2 linked regions of the Oryctolagus cuniculus genome follow. The protein of the gene in region 2 interacts with the protein of the main gene of each other region in a biochemical or structural test. Links are inferred from orthologs where the notes say so. Each region holds a gene or a part of one and is shown on either strand. Other genes may lie near its edges.

Region 1 (7,121 bases), on a different chromosome or scaffold from region 2:
CCGGTTGCCCCTCTTCCAGGCCAGCTCTCTGCTGTGGCCAGGGAGTGCAGTGGAGGATGGCCCAAGTACTTGGGCCCTGCACCCCATGGGAGACCAGGATAAGTACCTGGCTCCTGGCTTCGGATCAGCGCGGTGCGCCGGCCACAGCGCGCCAGCCATGGCGGCCATTGAAGGGTGAACCAACGGCAAGGGAAGACCTTCCTCTCTGTCTCTCTCTCTCTCACTGTCCACTCTGCCTGTCAAAAAAAAAAAAAAAATTATGTTAGAGAGACAGAACAATGTCCCATCCACTGTCACTCCCCAAATGCCCATAATGGCTAGGGCTGAGCTGCATGGAAGCCAGGATCCAGAACTCAACTGGCAGGGACCCAGTAACTTAAGGCGTCACCTGCTACCTCCTAGGGTCTGGGCTGCATCAGTGGGAACCTGGAGTCAGGAGCCGGAGCAGAAGTGGGTACTGAACTCAGGTACTCGGATGTGGAATGTGGGTGTCTTAGCTACTAGACCAAATGCCTGCCCCTTAAAGCTTTTATTTTATTTTTTTAAATTTTTTTTATTTTTATTTTTTTGACAGGCAGAGTGGAAGTGAGAGAGAGAGACAGAGAGAAAGGTCTTCCTTTTGCCGTTGGTTCACCCTCCAATGGCCGCCGTGGCCGGCGCGCTGCGGCCGGTGCACCGCGGCCGACGCACCTCGCTGATCCGATGGCAGGAGCCAGGAGCCAGGTGCTTCTCCTGGTCTCCCATGGGGTGCAGGGCCCAAGCACCTGGGCCATCCTCCACTGCACTCCCTGGCCACAGCAGAGGGCTGGCCTGGAAGAGGGGCAACCGGGACAGAATCCGGCGCCCCGACCGGGACTAGAACCCGGTGTGCCAGCGCCGCTAGGCGGAGGATTAGCCTAGTGAGCCGCGGCGCCGGCCCCCTTAAAGCTTTTCAATGCAAATACTCGTGTATTTCTGGACTAACGGTTTTGAGGATCACAAAAATTTTACTCACAATTTTATGCATCTTATGGAAGAGGGCACACATTGCAGTGACCTTTGCAAACTGAAGGACTCAGGAACCTGCAGGACACACTTTGGTGTCACAGTCTGCTACACTGTTAAAGCATCCAGCGTCCTCCTCTTTGCTGGCTCTCCTGCAGCCACTCTCCCCAGCGTGTCCTCCCCACCACGTCTCCTTCCTCAGGGCCCCTACTGTATCCTTGTTGACTGTCTGCTTCCCCCACACCTTCCACCCGGCAGGCTGTCCTCCTGCAGCTGTGACTCCCAGCACACACAGACACAGATGCGGCACTCAGGATGCAAGGAGGAGAGAAACACGGAACACTACTGCAGTGGCCTCTTCTACAACGCGCATGGATTCTCGGGTCACGTGCTTGGTAGCACAGCTGAGACGAAGCTTGGGATGCCCACATCCCATTATTGGAGTCCCAGCTCCGCTTCTTTTTCCGGCTTCCTATTAAAGCACACCCTGGGGAGCGGCAGATGATGGCTCAAGTACTTGGGTCCCTGCCACCCAGGTGGGAGATCCATTTTGACTTCAGACTCCGGGCTTTGGCTTGGCCCAGACCCAGCTGTTATACTTGGGAAGTGAACCAGTGGCTGGAATCTCTGTATCTCTGCTTTTCAAATATAAGATAAAAATTCAACAACAGATGTAATTCAATGCACATTTGGGTAATGGCTAAGTACCAGGAGTTGTTTCATTTAGAACTTTGCTCTCTTGCATCTGTTAGGTGATAGTAAGAATGCTATAGCTGACTGGGGCTGGCTGGTGGGCAGAAGCTGAGGCAGAGTACGTTTGAAGCCCATCTCACTGAAATACTGCAAATGTATGAGGGCCCCAAGGTTTTGAGATGTTTTCCCAAAAGAAAACAGCCCTTGTCGGAGCCTCACAACCTTAAAGGCTTTTGTAGCAGAATTCGGGGCTGTGGAGGCCTCCAAGATCCCTGGGAAGCAGCCTGTGTAAAGAGGCACATGGGACAAGGATGGGTCCAATCACCAACTCGCCAGCTTTCTACTCCTCCAAGGACTTGCTCAGTTCCTGGGTTTGTGCAGGGAGGCTGTCTCATTCTAAACTAAATGAGGGGCTGACGCTGTAGCGGGTGAAGCTGCCATCTGCAGTGCCCGCATCCCATATGGGCGCCAGTTTGAGACTCAGCTGCTCCACTTCTGATCCAGCTCTCTGCTGTGGCCTGGGAAAGCAGCAGAAGACGGCCCAAGTCTTTGGGCCCCTGCACCCACAGGGGAGACCCAGAAGAAGCTCCTGGCTTCTGGCTCCGTATCACACAGTTCCAGCCATTGCAGCCATCTTGGGGAGTGAACCAGGGGATGGAAGATCTCTCTCTCTCTGCCTCTCCTCTCTGTGTAACTCTGACTTTCAAATAAATAAATCAATCTTAAAAAAAAAATAAACTAAATGAACATCCTACCTTTCCTGTGGCACAGGTTGAGCATCCTAGCCTGAACACCTAAAATCCTAAATGCTCCAAAACCCTAAACCTTTTTAGAAAAAGATTGATTTATTTATTTGCAAAGGTAGAGTGGCAGAGGGAGAGGAAGAGATTTTCTATCTGTTGGGTCAGTCCTCAAACGACCAACAATCAGGGCTGAGCCAGGCTGAAGTCAGGAGCCAGGCTCTATGTGGGTCTCCCAGGTGGGTGGCACAGACTCCAGTACTTGACTCGCTGCATCTCTGCTGCCTCCCAGGAGCATTAGCAGGGAGCTGGATCAGAAGCAGAGCAGCCAGGACTTGAACTGGTGCTCCATCATCGGATGTAGGTGTCCCAAGTGTGGCTTAACCTGCGGTGCCACAACTCCTGCCCTGCCCCCAATCTGAAACTTCTTGAGCGCTGCTGAGTTTTAGATCTTGGAGCATTTTGGAATTAGGAATGCTCAATTGGTAAAGTCTATGCAAATATTCCAAAATCCAAAAAAAACTAAAATCTGTAACACTTCTGTCCCAAGCATTTCTGATGAGGGATACTCATCTATAATTAAAAGCAGCCAAAGAAGGCCGGCGCCGCGGCTCACTAGGCTAATCCTCCGCCTAGCGGCGCCGGCACACTGGGTTCTAGTCCCGGTCGGGGCGCCGGATTCTGTCCCGGTTGCCCCTCTTCCAGGCCAGCTCTCTGCTGTGGCCAGGGAGTGCAGTGGAGGATGGCCCAAGTACTTGGGCCCTGCACCCCATGGGAGACCAGGATAAGTACCTGGCTCCTGCCATCGGATCAGTGCGGTGCGCCGGCTGCAGCACGCCAGCCGTGGCGGCCATTGGAGGGTGAACCAACGGCAAAAAAGGAAGACCTTTCTCTCTGTCTCTCTCTCTCACTGTCTACTCTGCCTGTCAAAAAAAAAAAAAAAAAAAAAAAAAAAGCAGCCAAAGGAAAACCCAATTCTGTTATGAGAAAGAGTGACAGGGATTTAAAGTTAGGGTCGGGGCCGGCATTGCAGCATAGCAGGTAGGGCTGTCACCTGTGATGCTGACATCGCTTATGAGTGCTGGTTTGAGTCCCGGCTCCTCCACTTCTGATCCAGCTCCCTACTAAAGCACCTGGGAAAACAGCAAAGATGGCCTAGGTAATTGGGCCCCTGCACTCACGTGGGAGACTCAGATGAAGTTCCTGGCTCGTGACTTGAATCTGCCCCAGGCCTGGCTGTTATGGTCATCTCGGGAGGGAACCAGCAGATGCAAAATCTCTGCTTCTGTCTCTCCCTCTTTCTCTCTTTGTAACTCTGCCTTTCAAATAAATGAATTAATAAATCTCAGAAGTAATTAATTAAAATCAGGGTCAAGCTGGAAAATCTGCGCGAAGTGGTGGTTGGGCCTAAGCCAGACAAATCAACCCTGGTGCATCTACGGGAGTAGCCCCAGGGCATTGCAGAGGCCTGCTTTCCTCCCTGCAGTGTCCGATCCAGACGCCCGGAGCCTCCCCCACCTCTTCTCTCTGCTACCATTACTGGCTCTTTACCAACATTCCTTTCTTCCCAGACCCACTCAGCTTCAGGGAAGACTACAGCCCGATACAGCAGAGTGCTGGTTTGAGGACCAGCTCCTCTGCTTCAGGTCCAGCTTCCTGCTGAGGCTCCCAGGTGGCAGCAGACAACGGCTCAAGGCCTTATTGCTCTGCCACCTCTGTGGGTGATTTGTATGGAATTCCTGACTCATGGCTCCAGCATGGTCTAGCCCTGGCTGTTGTGGGCATTTGGGGAGTAACCCAGTGGATGGAAAAATCCCTCTATGCCTTTTGTATTATTTTTTAAAATATTTGTTTTTATTCATTTGAAAGAGAGTTATGGAGAGACAGAGAGAAATTTTCATCTGCTGGTTCACTTCCCAAATGGCTTCAATGCCTGGAGCTGAGCAAATCCGAAGCCAGGAGCTTCTTTCGGGTCTCCCACGTGGCTACAGGGGCCCAAGGACTTGGGCCGTCTTCTACTGCTTTCCCAGGCACATTAGCAGGGAGTTGGATTGGAAGTGGAGCAGTCAGGATTTGAACCAGTGCCCATATGGGATGCCAGTGCTGCAGTCTGGGGCTTTATCCTGCTGTGCCACAGTGTCTGCCCCTGTATCTTTTAAGTAAATGAAAATAAATAAAAAAGTGAAAAGCAATGGGCAAATTGAATTATATGTAGAACACCTGGGTGGGAAAAATGACTTTTTAAAGTACAGATACTGCTGGGGCCAGCTCTGCAGTATAGCGGGTTAAAGCCCTGGCCTGAAGCACCGGCATCCCACATGTGCGCCAGTTCTAGTCTTGGCTGCTCCTTTTCTGATCCAGCTCTCTGCTACAGCCTGGGATAGCAGTACAAGATGGCCCAAGTGCTTGGGTCCCTGAATCCACGTGGGAGACCCAGAAGAAGCTCCTGGCTCCTGGCTTTGGATTGGCACACCTCTGACCATTGTGGCCATCTGGGGAGTGAACCAGCGAATGGAAGACCTCTCTATCTGTCTCTACCTCTCTCTGTAATTCTGTCTGTTAAATAAATAAAATAAATCTTTTAAAAAAATAAAGTACAGATATTGTGTAGGGAGTCCCTTACAGCCTGATCTAACTTTCTGAGGTGAACACTCTCAGTACTGGGGTGACAATCAGTATAGCAGGAATTTACTGGAAACCCAACTTATGCACAATCTGCAGACTAGGTGCCAATCAAATACATATAATCAGGCGTGGGAAGATGGGTTAACACAAAACCCTCCTGAAGTATAACTTACAGGCTTCCTGAATCCCCTCATGGCTCGGCCAAGGCCTGGAAGTCTTCCGTTCACGCCAAAGCCCACTTCTGCTACACTCACCTGCTGTTGGGCTGGGGGGTGCCGGTGCCATTCTGTTCAGGGGCCGCCTCTGCGGGTTTGGATTTGAAGTAATTGACAAGGCCCCCGAACATGCTCTTAATGCTGTTGATGTGCTTCTGGCTGGTCTTCAAATCTTGGTCCATCTTGTCCACCATCTTCTCCGTGCGTTCTAAGACTCCTCGCTGACGGACGAGCTCCTAGGAAAGACACGTGGCAGTTATCCTTCTGGTAGTTCTCCCTGGCCCATGAGAACCACATGTGGGTACTCCATAAATGCGAAGCACATGTCGGGGCAGACGCTGTCACCTGTGAAGGGCACGTCATCATTTTTTGCTTAAAAGATTTATATTATTAATTTGAAAGGCATAGTTAGAGAGAGAGTGAGCACTTCCATCTGGCTGGGTCACTCTCCAAATGGCTGCAACGGCTGGAGCTGAGCTGATCTGAGGCCAGGAGCTTCTTCTGGGTCTCCCACTGGGTTGTAGGGGCCCAAGCACTTGGGCCATCTCCCATTGCTTTCCCAGGTTATAAGCAGAGAGTTGGACTGAAAGCAGAGTAGCCAGGACATGAACCAGCACCCACACAGGATGCCAGCGCCACAGGTGGAGGCTTAGCCTACTATGCAACAGTGCTGGCCCCTTCCTCTCCATTTGCTGTCCGTATTCTCCCTGTGGCTTAGCAGTGACGTGCACTACACAAATACTCTTTAAAGAGGTTCTCTCTTGGTACCTAAAAACAAAGTCATGAACAAGTTTTGAATATACCATCTTGGAAATCTGAAGGATTAAAAATGAAACTCTCAAGCCAGTGCCGCGGCTCAATAGGCTAATCCTCTGCCTAGTGGCGCCGGGACACCAGGTTCTAGTCCCAGTCAGGGTGCCGGATTCTGTCCCGGTTGCCCCTCTTCCAGGCCAGCTCTCTGCTGTGGCCAGGGAGTGCAGTGGAGGATGGCCCAAGTGCTTGGGCCCTGCACCTGCATGGGAGACCAGGAAAAGCACCTGGCTCCTGGCTTCGGATCAGCGCGTGTGCCGGCCACAGCGTGCTGACCACGGTGGCCATTGGAGGGTGAACCGACGGCAAAGGAAGACCTTTCTCTCTGTCTCTCTCTCTGTCTACTCTGCCTGTTAAAAAAAAAAAAAAAAAAACTCTCGGGGGCTGGCGCTGTGGCACAGGGGTTTGGCGCTCTGGCCTGAAGCGCCAGCATCCCATATGGGTGCCGGTTTGAGTCCTGGCTGCTCCACTTCCGATCCACCTCTCTGCTATGGCCGGGAAAGCAGTAGATGGTTCAAGTGCTTGGGCCCCTGCACCCACGTGGGAGACCCAGAAGAAGCTCCTGGCTCCTGATCGGCGCAGCTCCAGCCACTGCGGCCATCTGGGGAGTGAACTAGTTGATGGAAGACCCCCCTACCCCACCTCTCCTTCTCTGTGTAACTCTTTCAAATAAATAAATATTTAAAAAATGTTGCTTTGATGAAAATAAATTTATAGAAACAAAAAATGAAACTCTCAGTGTGCTTGTTGGAGCCCATTTTAGATATAAAAGGTCAGTGAAAGGCCTTTATGGTCTTCAGGGACTCGACATGCAACCTGAGCCTTTTTTTTTTTTTTTTAAAGATTTATTTATTTATTTGAAAGGCAACTACAGAGAGAGAGAGAGAGAGAGAATGAATTAATCTCCCATCTTTTGGTTCATTTTCCAAATGGCTGCAACGGCGGGAGCTGGGCCAATCTGAAGCCAGGAGCTCTTCTGGGACTCCCACGTGGGTATAGGGGCCCGAGGACTTAGGCCATCTTCTACTGCTATACCCAGGCCAGAGCAGAGAGC
Region 2 (7,605 bases):
GCCGCGGCTCGTCCTCCCCTCCCCCATCACGGCAGGGGCTTCAAAAGCACAGTCTGTGAAAAAGCCGTGGACGGAGCATCACAATTTTTTTTTTTTTTGCATCGAAATAAATTTATCTCTGGGCCAAAACACTGTGGTGCAGCGTTGGTTAAGCCTGGCTAACCCCAGCGGCAGCCCTGGCTGCTCCACGTCCCATCCAGCTCCCTGCTGTGGCCTGGGAGGGCAGTGGACGACAACCCAAGTGTTGGGCCCTGCACCCGCGTGGGAGGCCTGGAAGACGCTCCTGGCTCCTGGCTCAGCCCTGGCTATTGCAACCGCTTGGGGATGAACCAACGGATAGAAATTCTCGCTCTCTCTGTAACTTCTGCCTTTCAAATAAATAAATAAATCTTTAAAAAATAAAAGTCAAGGGCAGCCATTCGGGGCCATGGTTAAGACGCTTGAACACCTACACGCCACATCGAGAGCCGGTCCAGGTGCCTTCCCCCCCACAGCTCTCCCCCAGTGCACTTGGCGGGAGACAGAAGGGAGGACCGGGACGTGGGGCCCCCAGGCTGCGAGGCCATCTCCTTCCCTCCCGTGGGCGAGTGACCCAGTGGATAGAAGAGCTGCCTCCTGCGCCTGCGTTTCAAACAGCCTCTCAGGGAGCTGGGGGTGGGGGCGGGGGCGGGTGCTGCGGCTCACACAGTCAGCAAGGCCTGAGCCCAACCGACGGCGCTGGGGTCTGTGCCCTGGGCCCTTACGCTCCGCTGCCAGCAGGGTGTGTGTGTGCGAGACTGTGTGCATGTGTGTGTGTGAGAGTGCATGCGTGAGTGTGCGTGTGTCAGCGGTTCTATACTTCTGCCCCACCGGCTCTTGGGGCTGGGTCATTCTCGGCTGTGGGGCTGCGCCGGGCACCCCAGCTGCTTAGCAGCAGCCTTGGCCTCGACTCCCAAGTTGGCACAGCCGGGAACATCTCCAGCCATCGCGTGGTTCCCCTGGGGAGTAAGTCACCCCGGCTGAGGCCTCTGTGTGTGTGCGCACGCCAAGCCTTGTCGCACCCCACCTCGTTGGGGTTTTTAGATCATTTTTATTTATTTGAAAGAGTTACAAAAAGAGAGGGAAGGGGGGGGGAGAGAGAGAGAGAGAGAGACTGATCTTCCACTGCTGGTTCATTCCCCAAATGACTGCAGCGTCCAGGGCTGTGCCAGGAGCCTGGAGCTTCTTCTGGGTCTCCCAGGTGGAGCCTGGACAGAGTCGGGCCAGGCCAACAGAAGGCGCTGCTGTCCGGCCAGGCCACAGGGTAGACACGCAGGGGCAGCTGGCAGAGCCAGTGTCTGTGGCAGCGGCGTGGAGCCCCCAAGGGCCACTCCATGCTGCCGAGCAGACTTGGATTCTGGGAGAAGGGAAGGGAGGGGCTGTCAGCAGAGGGGCCTGGAGGGTGGCCTTGGGCTGAGTCCTGGCCCTCACTGAGGTGTGGGTGTGAGGGGCTGGGCTGGGTCCCAGTGGCAGAGGGGGACACACAGCCCCAGGCTGTGAGGCAGCCCAGACCCAAGGGAGCCGTGCAGAGAGGCCATGGTGAGGCGGAGGCCGCAGAGCAGAACATGGGCACACATGACCCGCCGGGCGCCACCCCCGCCTGGAGTCTAGGGCTAAGACCATGGCCACGCACGCAGCCACACCCAGGGGCCTCATCTGTCTTTCCAGGCTTCAGTTAGGATGAAAGGGACCCCCAGGACCCTGCCAAGGAGCCCCCCACCCCCACCGCGCCTGTCTGTCCTCAGCCTGAGGCGGGGCCATGCGGCCGCCTCCGGCCATCAGCAGCTGGCGTCCACCACAGGTGCAGAGAGGCCTCGCTGACAGCTCTTGGTGCCGTGGGCACCGCCCCTGGTGGATGTACAACCCAGGCCCCCAAGCTGCCCTTTGACCCACGCCCCCTATCTGCCACAGCTTGGAGCGTGCCCTGTTCAAGGCCCAGCCCCTCGTCCAGCCTGGGGTGCACAGAGCAAGTCCCTGCCCATCGCCAGCCCCAGCCCTTTCTCTCCTGGGATCTGAAAGCGGCCCAGGTCGCGACACCACCGTCTGCAAGCTGGGCCGTGTCCTGGCCGGGCCCCTGGAGCCCAGCACCCCATGGACACCCACACAAAGGAAGGGAGCCCCCCAGTTCTCCATTGGCTTGTGTCAAACCCGACCTGCTGGCCAGGCCTTCTCCTGATGGCAACAGCAAAACCGCTTACGCGCACTGCCCCCCCCCCCCCCCAGCCCCAGCGAGAAACTTGTGAGCTTTCGGCTCTTCGGCCCGCCCCGTCTGCCGCATCTGGAGGCTCCATTTTGTTGCTGTGGCTCTGAAGTTGCCTTTCGGGACCTTGAAGACTTTTCAGGCTGGGACGGGATGAAGGAGACCCCTGCGAGGCAGCCGGACCCCCGCCCTGCTGGCCCAGGGCCCACCCCCCCGCCGGGGTGCAGGTGTTTGTGGACGGAAGAGGAAGCCGCGCGGGCCAGAGGTGGGGATGGTTTCAGAGACGGAAATATCTGGACCCTCCCTCCATCTGCCCCAGGCCCAGGCAGAGAGTGAAACAGCAGGGAAACCAAAAGTGAAATTAGTTCACTCGCATTAAAACTTTCCCACAAACACGCACAGAGAAGACAAGACCGAACACGGGGACCGTCTCTCAGCCCAAGGCCTGGGCGCACGCTTGATGCCACAGGCGGGGGGCTGGCCCCCGGCCCACCAAGCCCCAGCAGCCAGACGGGTCCTTGGAGAGCGCCAAGCGGCCGTGCCCAACGACAGGGTCCCAGCTCCATTTATAAATAACCCAGGAACATTCTGTTTCCACGTTTCTGGGGCCGGGCTTCCCAGCACACAGGGCTCTGGGGACCTGACAGCCACGGCTGGTCAATGACAGCACTGCGGGGGGGGGGGGGGGGACAAGCCCAGCCCGGCCTGGTCCAGGCCTGCGAACAACCGCCCCATTGAGGATCCCTGCCCCGGGCTCTCCCTGCACCAGCCCAGAAACGGCATCTCCGGGGTGGGCCGGGGCCCTGGGCGGCGGCCGCATATCCTTTGGCTTCTAAGGCCGCCCCAGGAAGTCCGGACTGGGCCTGCCGGGGGCTCCTGGTCAGCAGCTGGCACGGCCTCCGGTGCCGGCCCCGCCTGGGAGCCTCAATGTCCTCTTTTGAGAACAGCACCCCCCCCCCGCACCCCCCCCAGAGTGTTACTGTGGCCCGGACCTGATTCCAGGAACGCCCATCTGTTGTCCAGCGGGCACTCAGTCCCGCAAAGGCAGAGGCCAGCAAACCTCCCCCGCCGGGCTCCGCCCCCCTCGGCTTCCTGCGTGGTCCCCCGGGAGGGTCGGAGGCCCCCAGGTCCCCTCTTGCAGGTGTCCAGACCTGGTTACCTAACAATCGCGGTGCCCGGGCTCTGACGTCACCCGGGAGGGTTCTCAGCGGCCCCAGGAGGCCGAGGCGCGGCCAGGGAGGATGGCGGGGGCCTGAGCCGATGGAAGAGCCGGGGACCGGTAAGGGGCCCGGGGCCCGGGGGGTCGCCGGCCGTGCTCCGCAGGAGAAAGCGGAAGTACTTGGGCTTTTGAATTTCCCCTAAGTTCCCACAGGCTGCGTTGTTGCCCCCGCACGCGGGGAATTTCCGATTTCACTTCCTTAAACGCTCGTGGCCGGAGGGCCTCGGCTTCCGTTTTATCGCCTCGTGCCCTGCCACGGTGCCCGCACGGCCCGTGGGCGCCCCCGGACGCCCGCCCGCTCTTTCGGACGCTCGGCTTCCTCCGCCCCTCTCCTGCCTCTCCCGGTCCCGGGGCGATCAGAGTGAGCGGGCCGCGGGCTCCCGAGGGCCGCAGGCGGCGGGAGGACGGTTCTGAGGGGAACCGGATGAGGCGCACTGTCCGGGCTCCCGGGCGTCTAACTGGGTGTCTCGCGGAGCCCTGTGGCGGGGGCGGGGGCGCACGGGTGCTCGCAAGGCGGGTAACACCTCGAACGCCGACCCCTCAGTTCCCGCCTTTCCAACCGCAGCACTTCCGCGAGCCGCCCCGCGAGGGGCGGGGCGAAACAGGTGCGGTTGCCACGGCGCCCCGGCCAGAAGCTCGCGAGATTTGGACTCAGCCAATAGCAGGCGGGGGAGGGGAGGACGTGGCACGGGGCTGGGGGCGGGGCCCGGAGGGGCTCCTCCCTCCCGCTCCCGAGGCCGCGCTGCCCCCACCCCGCGGCGGCGGCGCGGGCACCCGCACGCCGCGCCCGGCCCTATAAAGGGCGCCCGGCCGGGCGCGCGCTCCACTCGGCAGAGGGCGCCTCCGCGAGCCGCGCCGTGCGCCTGCGCAGTGCGGGCCGCTCCCGCCCGCTGCCCGCCGCCGGCCGGCCCGGCCCCTCGTCGGCCCCGCGCCCTCCGCGCCGGCTCTCAGCCGCTCTCCGCCCCGCAGCCGCCGCCAGCACCGTGTCCGGCAGCATGTTCAGCTGGGTCAGCAAGGATGCGCGGCGCAAGAAGGAGCCGGAGCTGTTCCAGACGGTGGCCGAGGGCCTGCGGCAGCTGTACGCGCAGAAGCTGCTGCCGCTGGAGGAGCACTACCGCTTCCACGAGTTCCACTCGCCCGCGCTGGAGGACGCGGACTTCGACAACAAGCCCATGGTGCTGCTCGTGGGCCAGTACAGCACGGGCAAGACCACCTTCATCCGGCACCTGATCGAGCAGGACTTCCCGGGGATGCGCATCGGGCCCGAGCCCACCACCGACTCGTTCATCGCGGTCATGCACGGGCCCAGCGAGGGCGTGGTGCCGGGCAACGCGCTCGTCGTGGACCCGCGGCGCCCCTTCCGCAAGCTCAACGCCTTCGGGAACGCCTTCCTCAACAGGTGCGGCCGACCCCACCCGCCCCCTCCCGGGCCGTGACCCCGCCGTCCTTTGTCTGCGAGGCCCCCTGGAGACCCTCGGGGCAGGGCCCGGCCCGGGGAAGACGCCTCGGGCAGCCCGGGAGGGGGCGTCGCCGGCTCCCCGCGCCTCCGGACCCTCAAATTCCAAGGCCTTGGGCAGACCCCAGCCCCTCTTCGCCCAGCGCCGGGGGCAGTGCTCCTGGCCGCTCTCGGGTCTCCACGGCCCCCCGCCCCGGACCTGACGCGCTTAATTCATTCCGAGCCAGCCCGCCCCCTCCCTCCCTTCGGGGGTCGTGCAAACTTGGCGCGGCGGGGCTGACACCCCCAGCGCTGCCTCCCCGGGCCCCCGCGGCTTTGTGCGGGTGGCATGGGCAGCCCCTTGGTGTTGGAGCGGGGCTCCCCAGCGCCCTTCCTAAGGGGTCGCTGTGGGGGGAAACAGCTCGGGGCAGTGGCCTGGTGGCCTGGAAGGCGACCCCCGAAGCTCCTTACGCTGCTTGGATCTCAGCCCACGTCCAGGGGGTGAGGGCCCTGGGAATGAGAGGCACTGGCCTCCCCCAGGGCGTGCACCGCCCAGGCCACCCCCCCAGGGACATACCAGAGGAGCCAGACCCGCCCCTCCCCCCATTCCAGGACGACTCCGGGGCTGGGGAGCTGAGGAATGGGCGCTGAGGCCTGCCCCGTCCCCACCCTACACGCCGCATTCCTGTGCAGACACTGTCCAGCCTGCGCGGGGCGGACCAGCTGGCCCCACAGCCCGGCCCAGGCTCCTCCGGGCCCGGTGCTGACACTTAATACGGCTCTTTGGGCCTCCGGGCATCTCAGGCTGGTTTGTGGCTGATGGCCTGTGAGTGCTAAGGTCAGCGGGAAGAAAAGCCCTTTGGGCTAAGGCTCCCAGGACCCTTGGGCCTCGGCTGGACCGCGCCTGTCTGTCGGCCGCCGTGGGCTCCAGCTGTTGGGCCCCGGGAAAAGTTTGGCTGCCCTGGTGGGACGCTGGGTCCCCGTGTGCGCGGCCTGTGGGGAAGCCGTCCCTCCCCTGCTGCCCGTGGTCTTCATTCGGGGCCGGCAGGGTCTCTGTCCTCTCAGCAGCCCCCACCTGCCTGGCCCCCAGATCCCAGAACCACACTCTGCCTTCTCCAGAAAGTCCCCGGATGCCGGCGGGCCTGGTCCGAGGGAGGCACGGAGCAGCGGCCTCGCTAGTGGGGACAACAAAGGGGACTTGTCTGGCTGAGGCAGCCTGTCCCAGCCGGTCACCACCTCACTCTTGGGGGCCCCCATGTCCCAGCTGGTCACCACCTCACTCTCGGGGTCCCCCATGTCCCAGCCGGTCACCACCCTCACTCTCGGGGTCCCCATGTCCCAGCCGGTCACCACCTCACTCTCGGGGGGGTCCCCGTGTCCCAGCCGGTCACCACCTCACTCTCGGGGTCCCCATGTCCCAGCCGGTCACCACCTCACTCTCGGGGTCCCCATGTCCCAGCCGGTCACCGCCTCACTCGGCCCCCACCCAGGGGCCGCCCTCAGGAGCAGGGCCTGCATCAGGGCACCCTGAGGGTATCGTGAGAACTCCCCGCTGCATGGCCAGGCCTGCCCACTGTGCGCGGGGTCAGCGTGGCTCCTCTTGGCTCCTCTTGGGCCCTGCGCCCTGCGCTCCACACGGGTCCTGCAGATGTTCCCTCGCTTGCCTGGCTGGCGGCCAGGGCACTTGGACATGCGCTGCTCTCGGGCCAGTTTTCCAGAGCCCTCCCTTCGGTGGCCTCTGTCCAGCGACTCCCTCCCTCGCTGACCCCCAGGCCTGGGTGCCCGGCTGCTGGCCCAGGGAGGGCGCGGGCCGAGGCGCGCTCCCGCCGGTGGGCAGCTGGCTGGGCTCTGGGCTCCAGCCGCCCCCAGCCTGGGGGTCGCTTGCTGCTTTGCTCGTGGCACCTCTGTCAGAGAGGCCTTGGAAGGAGCTTGGGCGTCGAGGGAGGGCTGTGCCGGGCGCAGGCTCGTTCTGGCGTGGCTGAGCCCTTGGAGTGAGCCGTCAGCCCGTCACGCGTCGTTCTGGGCAGAGTGGTTGGCTGCACTTCCTGCGCGGCCCCCAGCCCGGCGGGTGGCCCCAGCAGGAAGAGGACGCCTCGGGTGGTTGCAGATTTCAGCGCGGGACGCCCAGGGCCCCGAGTCACCCTTCTGTTTCCTTCTGAGCGGAATGGTGACCCCGGCGCACGCAGTGTGCACGGGCGACTCAGCAACTTGGAAGCTGAACTCTCGAACTCTGGGGTCGGGCGGCTGCGCGGGAAGTGCTGATGGGGTCAGTTTGAGGGCCGCTTGCCGGCCAGCCTGCACGTGAAGACGGTGGAGAGGCTCCCGCAGGCCCCTTCTGGAAGGGAAGCGGAAGTGGAGATGCAGGGGTGAGGAGAGCAGCCCAGCTCGCTGCTGACCGCGGTCTCCCACCTTGTCTCGCGTAGGTTCATGTGTGCCCAGCTGCCCAACCCGGTGCTAGACAGCATCAGCATCATCGACACCCCCGGCATCCTGTCCGGAGAGAAGCAGCGCATCAGCAGAGGTGAGCGGGTGCCCGGGCAGGTGACAGGGACAGCGAGGACGCGCCCACGGTTCTGGGTGGCCGCTGTCCTTTCGGGGCCCTGGAATGGGGCCAGTATTGCAGCAAAGCGGGTAAAGCCGCCACCTGTGGTGCCGGCGTCCCGTGTGGGTACCGTTCATGTTCCTGCTGCCCCACTTCCAAGCTAGCTCCCTGCTGCTGGCCCTGGAGAATTC

Evidence for each region.
Region 1: the proteins of EHD1 (region 2) and SNAP29 form a complex in vitro, tested with the Homo sapiens proteins (2 studies listed by BioGRID). The link is inferred for Oryctolagus cuniculus from reciprocal best matches to the Homo sapiens genes EHD1 and SNAP29.

The regions. Positions count from the first base shown.
Region 1 is NC_091452.1:29,625,239-29,632,359, reverse strand, and holds part of SNAP29 (synaptosomal-associated protein 29), read right to left. Parts: intron 5,494-7,121; coding exon 5,297-5,493; intron 1-5,296. UniProt on the Homo sapiens protein: SNAREs, soluble N-ethylmaleimide-sensitive factor-attachment protein receptors, are essential proteins for fusion of cellular membranes.
Region 2 is NC_091432.1:6,625,632-6,633,236, forward strand, and holds the start of EHD1 (EH domain-containing protein 1), read left to right. Parts: upstream 1-3,345; 5' UTR 3,346-3,478; coding exon 3,479-3,497; intron 3,498-4,406; coding exon 4,407-4,836; intron 4,837-7,295; coding exon 7,296-7,393; intron 7,394-7,605. UniProt on the Homo sapiens protein: ATP- and membrane-binding protein that controls membrane reorganization/tubulation upon ATP hydrolysis. In vitro causes vesiculation of endocytic membranes. Acts in early endocytic membrane fusion and membrane trafficking of recycling endosomes.